Drosophila melanogaster: one gene and its partner. Changing the gene in region 2 together with the main gene of any one other region gives a genetic interaction. Each region holds a gene or a part of one and is shown on either strand. Other genes may lie near its edges. The genes, in order: Mer and sbb.

Region 1 (3,925 bases), on a different chromosome or scaffold from region 2:
CAAGTGCCCAAAAACAAAAAGAACCGTTACATTGAGAGAGTAAAAATTTCTTGCTCAGAGAGACAACATATGGTTCTTATTATTCATGCAATCTGACTTAAAAAAATAAAACATTTAATTATTTTTTTTGGTAAATCAACTTTCCACCTGCAGTAGTGTTATTATTTTAACCGCAGCTGTATTCATCGTGTCATCGTGAAGTAATTGTTGGGTATAAAATATTCTCACTTGGCGCTATTTGTCACTGAGACAACTTTTAGATTCACTTTATCCCTCCCTCCCAAAAATATTCTATTTGTTTGGATACAATATAATCTCGGTTTTCTTAACAATATCTGCTGTTTGGGTTGGCTATTTGTGATTTCCATTTAAGAAAAAACAAACCTCGATTAGCGGTATATTTAGCACAACCCATTGGTATATCCCACAGCCAATTTCGAACTTCGAGGCAGTCACACTGGTGGATGTCGCTGCTGTGAAACGGGGCAGGACAAAACAATTGACCAATAGGAACCGAAACCAACACACTGCACTGGCCCCGGGATCGGAATGGCTGGATTCCTGAAGACAAGGTAATCACCTTGACCAAGGTAGTGAGGTCCCAGCGCTAATCAAACGCACACCATTCCTCCACAGAAAGCGCAGCCGGGAGGATGAACTGGCCTGCGAGTCGCCCCTTTCGAAGCGCATCAACAACCTGAATCTGAACTACGAGGATGGGAACAGCAGCAGCAGCAGCAGCTGCAGCATTCCGCCACTGTCGGGAGGAGGAGCGACTGGTGGATCCGGCGGGTCCGATGCAGCCGGAAACGGTGTGGCGGCCGGATACGAATACAACCCAGAACTGGGAGCCGAACAAAACCCATTTTACTACGAGAAGAACAAGATGCTGTACGACCTGCATGTCGAGCGCATCAAGCGGAGCAGCCAGTAGCTAGTGATCATGGATTCCGGTGTGCGAGTCCAAGTCCTGGCACAGCCATTTAAGTGCCAACACGAGTTATCTGCAGCAACACTCTCTCTAGGTTCAAAGTAATTCGCCTCCGTTCAGTCTTCTCTGCGCACGGATTCGGATATCCGTGTCTGGAGTCACTTGCGTTTGTGTGATAAGCATTGTTTACTTGCATGGCATTAGCATCACCCCTGATGCATACACATAATAATAGTAGTATAAATTGAGCTAAGAGTCCCCCAAACACGCACATGAATATATATAAACTATGTTCATCGGTTACCATCCCTTCAATATGTATTTATAATCCTGCATGTATAATTTATTCTAAGAATAATGTAAGAAAACCTCCATATCTTTATATTTTCCTATTTCGATGAAATACGATATCCAGGGGGGTACAAGTTCATTGCTGAGTCGGTGGAGATGGAAAATAAGCTACAGGGACCTGATAAAACGAAAGCTGGACTTATTCATTGTTTATATACGCATCTGCTGACATGGTCATTTTGCTTATTCCGAGAATTTAAGCATGGACCTGCAATACAAGAATACGTCCAATAAACATTTACATAGTAATACATCTCATCCTTAGACAAATCTTTAAAACAAATATTGCGCTCAAGGACTTCATTTTCCCAATTCGTGACCATTGACAGGGTGGCAACTCTATATAGCACTGTGTTATTTTAGTTAATTCATCTTTCATCAAATAGCTGATCAAATCTATTTCGCAGCATTCAAAAATTCGTATAACTAAAAATGAGTGTACAATTTGAAAAAACATATTGCGGTATATTTTGGTATTTGGACTACCACTGTTTTGCCAGTTTTTGAAAACTTTTGGAAAATGGAAAGTTAATATATTTTTAAGGTATTTAATATGTTTTCATGTGCATATATTGACATTTCAATGCTTTATGTCGTTTGAGATGGATTAATTTAAGCATTATGATTCCTCCATAAAATTGAAATGGAATCACCCTACTAAATATACAAGGCGTCTGCCAAAGCTGATTTTTCTGCATCTAACGGCTGGTCACACTGTCTATGTTTATGTCGCGCATATCGGGAATTTGTCGTACAATTGCGATTCGCGGTGCAAACAATCGAGTAAGTTGCCTATTCTCGTACTTGGTCGATGTGGAGACCCTTCTGCCGACCCTCAATCAGCTTCCACGCCAAAGGAGCTGGGTGAGCGGTTGAATAGTGGGCGCCAGGATGCCGTGGCCACGCAGTTCTTAAATCGCAGCGCCGCATAAACGAAGAGCCTTACTCTTTCTTTCTTTCCGCTCACAGCCATCAGCCCAAATTGCCATTGCCATTGCCCGGAGCACCGAATTGGCTGCAAAATGAGGCAGTCCGCGATAGGCGAGGACCGCAGGAGCAGCAACAAGGAATCGTGCCACTAGATGGCACAGGAGCACCAGAAGGACCAAGAATCAGATTAGCAGGAGCAACAAGTCCTTTGCACGCAACAGGTTATCACGAATTGCCCACAAGAGCACTCAGTTCCCACTCCAATCCAATTGCATCTAACGCATCACATCACATTGCGTCGAATCTAATCAAAACACATCACATAATCGCGATGAGCCCCTTCGGCTCCAAGAAAAACCGATCCCTGTCGGTGCGGGTGAGCACCTTCGACTCGGAGCTGGAGTTCAAGCTGGAGCCGCGCGCCTCCGGCCAGGATCTGTTCGACCTGGTGTGCCGCACCATCGGGCTGCGCGAGTCTTGGTACTTTGGGCTGCAGTACGTCGACACCCGCAGCAACGTGTCCTGGCTGAAAATGGAGAAGCGGGTGCGCGACCAGCGCGTTGAGCTGCACGCTAGCAATAATGTGTATGTGTTTAGCTTCTACGCCAAGTTCTTTCCGGAGAACGTCAGCGAGGAGCTGATCCAGGAGATCACGCAGCACCTGTTCTTCCTGCAGGTCAAGCAGAGCATCCTCTCCATGGACATCTACTGCCGCCCGGAGGCGTCCGTGCTGCTGGCCTCCTACGCGGTGCACGTGCAATACGGTCCGTACGACTACGAGACCTACAAGGACGGTATGCTGGCCGGGGGTGAGCTTCTGCCCAAGGGAGTGACCGATCAGTACCAGATGACGCCCGAAATGTGGGAGGAACGGATCAAGACATGGTACATGGACCATGAGCCCATGACGCGCGACGAGGTGGAGATGGAGTACCTGAAGATTGCTCAGGACCTGGACATGTACGGAGTAAACTACTTTCCTATTACGGTGAGAGCCTTGATTTTCACGTGGCGCATCTGAATCTTATCGTTTGTGTTCCCCACCAGAATAAGAACAAAACCAAATTGTGGCTGGGCGTCACCTCCGTGGGCCTAAACATCTACGATGAGCGCGATAAGCTAACGCCAAAGACAACGTTCCAGTGGAACGAGATACGGCACGTCAGCTTCGACGACAAGAAGTTCACCATTCGCCTGGTGGATGCCAAGGTTTCGAATTTCATCTTTTACTCGCAGGACCTCCACATCAACAAAATGGTAAGGAGGGCAGTTGTGACAACTGAAATATGTATATGTATTTTCACTATGTTCATGTTCCCATATTCATACTACACTTGCATCGTGTGCTTTGCAGATTCTTGACCTGTGCAAGGGCAATCACGATCTATATATGCGCCGCCGCAAACCCGACACCATGGAAATCCAGCAGATGAAGGCCCAAGCCAAGGAGGAGAAGCAACGCCGCCAGATCGAACGCAAAAAGTTCATCAGGGAAAAGAAGCTGCGCGAAAAGGCGGAGCACGAGCGCTACGAGCTGGAGAAGAGCATGGAGCACCTGCAAAACGAAATGCGCATGGCCAACGATGCACTTGTAAGACTCACTCCGCCCAGTGGCTTCTGATCTATAATATTGAGTTTCTCCCTGTATCCCAGCGGCGTTCCGAAGAGACCAAGGAGCTGTACTTCGAAAAGAGTCGTGTCAACGAGGAGCAG
Region 2 (3,925 bases):
TCCCATGCCCCCCGCTGCACCCTTTCTCATCGCTCTTCTTGATGACCCGCGAATTCCGCTTGTCTTCCCACATTACGCTTGCAAAACGAAATTCCATTCCATTGGTGCCGAACAAAAACCCAAATTAAATCCACTTCAATAAATCTCAAAAAGGTAACAAACAAAATACAAAAAAAAAAAATAAATAATAAAAAAACCAAGCACACCAACCGGCCTGTCAATTTTCTAATCGCTCGAAATAACAAGAAAAAACTCCATTTAATTACAAATCGGCTTAGATTGAAACGCCTTAATTGGCATTAACTCGATGAAAAAAAAAAAATGTGTACACGAATACTTGTGCGGTAATTAATCAAACTGGAAATCAATTTAGGCTCATGCCCTCTCGTTCCCTCTCTTCTTTGCTCTCCTTCTGACTCAATAGGTATCTGTGCTGTGCGAGCAAGAGAGAAAGTGTGGAGTATCTTAGAGATGTGTAAACTTAAACAATAGAGATTTTATTGCAGCTAAATGTTGGCTCTTTGTTTATTAACTCTATTACAATTGTAAATTAAATTAATTAGATAGTCTAAATTCGATAATAATTACTGTAACTTACCTTTTTATAAATCCAAAATAGTCGCAATTTCTGCTCTGAATATGCGCGTTCCCGATTTATAGACAGCATCCAAAAGATGAAGAGAAGGCTCGGGGGTCGGGTGGCAATGAGCAGTGGGTGGCGATGGGCAGGTGATGATTCCTTTGCTTCCTGGCTTGCTCGCACCCACAGTGAGCGACTATCGTGAGGGGGGTTTGGGGAGAGAGTGAGAGAGCACGCGAGAGGGCGTAATAATCCACAAAAGAAACTCCCAAACTCCCAGCTCCCGGAGCTAACGGAAGGTGAAATGCAAATCCGCAAAATTTTCCTAGCAGCGCAATCTCAGGAATTATTTTCCATTTATGTAAGAGCGAGAAAGAGAGAGAGAGTCAAACTTGGCTTTTCTTTCTGCTTTTCACTGCTTCTGCTGGATTCTATTGCTGCTGCTTCTTTTTTCTGCTTGTTTTTCACTTCTTTGACACTTTTTGCATTTGCTTCTCTTTTCTATTTTTCTTTTTTTTGCGACAAATGTATGAACTTTTTTATGAGGTTAGTTGTTGTTTTTTTCTTTATTTCTCTACAAATACACGAAAAAACGGCACTTTGAGTAAGGCGAGGGAGGGAGACGACGAGAGAGGGAGCGCGTGTCCAAGCTCTGTTGCCTTTGCCTTCTCTCCGCCTGTACATATGTATTTGGCAGAACAGAAGCTGCTCCACCGCACACATACACGTGTACATGCATAGCAAGAGAGGCGGTGAACAGAGCTTGGGGCATAGAAAAAAAATACACGGGGGAGTTGTTGCACGACAGAGATACGGCAAGCGAGGGGAGAAGTGGACACGAAGAGAGACTATACGACCGACGGACTGACGCGACGCGACTTCACCTTGCACACGCGCGGAAATTGGCGAGAGCGACAAAGCGACGACGGGTTCGTCGTTTGTCGGCGTTCTTTTACCGCAATGTTTGTGCGAAACATAAAAAAGCTTTGCACATACACAGCGGCTGGCAGTGCGAGCGAGAAAGAAAGAGACAGAGAGGGAGAGCGCAATACACACACACACACACACAAGCACATGCAGTGGCTGTATAGTAATTTTATTCCGGTACTATTCAACTGATGAAGCTTCTGTTGCTGTTGTTGTTATTGGCAGCAACATATTGCCAGTGCCACACTCTCATTTTGGTTCGTCTCCTTTTCCTTTCTTTTTTTACTACTACTTTTTAGTAGTTTTCTTTTCCTTTTTTTTTGGCGATGATGATTACGCTGCTCTTTTAACACACAGAGATACACATACAAACGCACGCACAAGTCAGGCCCAAGTGGGTAATTTGTTTTATGAGTAGCGGCAAATAGCACTTGTGTATGATTGTCGCTCTCCTCCTTCTTCTCGTTGCTGTTGTTACTCTTCTCTTTTCATTTTTTTTTTCTGTTGTGAATGACAGACAGCTACGAGTAATAATTTTTAATGCGTTTTTGGCATTTCTACGTTGCTTTGGGTTAATTGCTTGAAACGCGACGAAACACTAAATCACGCACACACAGATACGCGGTACGACCAGAGAGCGAGAGGCCAACAACACTTATTATTTTGTTGTCGAGTTGAATTACATTAAATGCACATGAGGAAATCACACTGGGGAACAGCTTTGCTTACTTCTTTTCCACAGATTTTAGTCCTTCTTGCTTGTTGTTTTTGGGATGTTGTTTTTCTTAATTAAAGATAGAACCTGATCCGCTCAGTGTTTTTTATGTTTTTGTTTGGCGACAGCGTTTTATCCGTGCTGTCCGAACGAACCGAAGGAGCAACGCGTACAAAAGCGCATAAATTGAGAGGCGAGAGTTGGCTAGCAACGCGCAGGGTTGTCGGCTATATGGGGAAAAATAACAAATACATTTCGGTAATTATATGGTTCCGAAAGAATTCTTGTTTTTAGTCGAATGCTTCTCTGATATAGTTATCGCGATTTCAAACTCTTAAAAGCAATAAAGTTACAATTTACTAATAAAAAGATTATTTACTTGTTAATATTCTCAGCCACTTGACAACCCTGCGGCATTTTCTACACACACATCCACTGCTTACATCGCACACACTGGCATTCCCATGCACATACACAAACGGTCTCTGAGCGGCATTTCTTTAATGGCGGCTTTTTCGCTCTTGCTCGTGCGCTCTTAGTGCCCTCTCCCGCTCTCTTGCTCTGCCGACGCCATATTGCGCAGTTATGTATGTTCATCCCTTTCCAATTTGTTTACAGTGCCGTCGTGTGGTCTCTCACTTGTCCGCTGTTGTTGTTTGTGTTATTGCGTTTGTTGCTCTTGTTATTGCTATGCCTCTGCAAATTGTTTTTGGTGGGGTCCTGAGGATTGATTACTGATTGGCATGTCGTTCGCCTATAGTCAGTTGCCTTTTGTTGTAGTTGTTCTTCCTTTCCGTTTGCTCCTTCTTATTGTCTTTCACCTTCTCACCACACGCACGCTGGCAGGCACACGCACACACCTCACCACCACCTCCACCATCTCCTCGACCAAAGACCATTTCCTCCTTGTTTTTTTTTTTTTCGTTGGTGGGCTGGCGGTTGGGGGAGTAGCATATAATGACATAATGAGATTTATTAGGCGCAAAATAAAGCCATAATGTTCCATTTGACCTTTGTGTAACTTTGACAGTGGTAATTCTCGCCTTCCTGTGCCACCTTATTATTATTATGATGATGGGCAAGAAATATCCTTGCTGTATATACATACATACATATGTATACATTTACATATATAGGGTGCATTGCAGAACATGAGCATTTTCAATTCGTCGTCAGCATTTTGAAAGTTGCCTTTAGCAGTCGCCGATGCAAAAGGCAAATAAGTTCCACTCAGCCCAAGTTTCAGATCAGGAGCGCTTAGGTTAAGCTGGTACAAGCCTATTTGTTTAAATATTTGTATATTTGAGCACTGTATTACATTTGTCTTTTTTTTTTTTTTTTTTTTTTTTTTTTCGATGATGTTTTTATTATTTGATCAACGCACTGTTACCCATGCGGCAACTTAATTTGATCTGCTTAAATTATTTTATTTTACAATGTGTCTTGGTTACTTAAGACTAACAGATTTTTAATCCTAAAAATGATAGGGAGAATTATAATAGTTGATATAACATAGTAATTATTATTTATTTGATTATTCTAATGAATTTTAAAACTAAGACTTTCTAGGTCAAAACCAGGTTAGGGAGGTCATGAGGGTGGTGTCGCTTGAGTCTTCTTTTGACTCTAGTCCGAGGGTCAGCATTGACCACAGCTGCAGTTCCTAGCTTCCTTGCTAGGCTGTTGGGGTGTACATTAAGCCT

What was found.
Region 1: of sbb (region 2) and Mer, changing one enhances a phenotype caused by changing the other (phenotypic enhancement), as found in Drosophila melanogaster (one study listed by BioGRID).

What each region holds. Positions count from the first base shown.
Region 1 is NC_004354.4:19,691,576-19,695,500, reverse strand, and holds the start of Mer (merlin), read left to right. Parts: upstream 1-2,000; 5' UTR 2,001-2,065; intron 2,066-2,251; 5' UTR 2,252-2,543; coding exon 2,544-3,200; intron 3,201-3,259; coding exon 3,260-3,469; intron 3,470-3,566; coding exon 3,567-3,803; intron 3,804-3,865; coding exon 3,866-3,925. Other genes in the region: CG14229 (uncharacterized protein), read left to right, coding at 550-572, 637-934. UniProt on the Drosophila melanogaster protein: Regulator of the Hippo/SWH (Sav/Wts/Hpo) signaling pathway, a signaling pathway that plays a pivotal role in organ size control and tumor suppression by restricting proliferation and promoting apoptosis.
Region 2 is NT_033778.4:18,354,902-18,358,826, forward strand, and holds the start of sbb (scribbler), read right to left. Parts: upstream 2,396-3,925; 5' UTR 2,237-2,395; exon of another isoform or gene 1,155-2,236; 5' UTR 599-1,154; intron 1-598.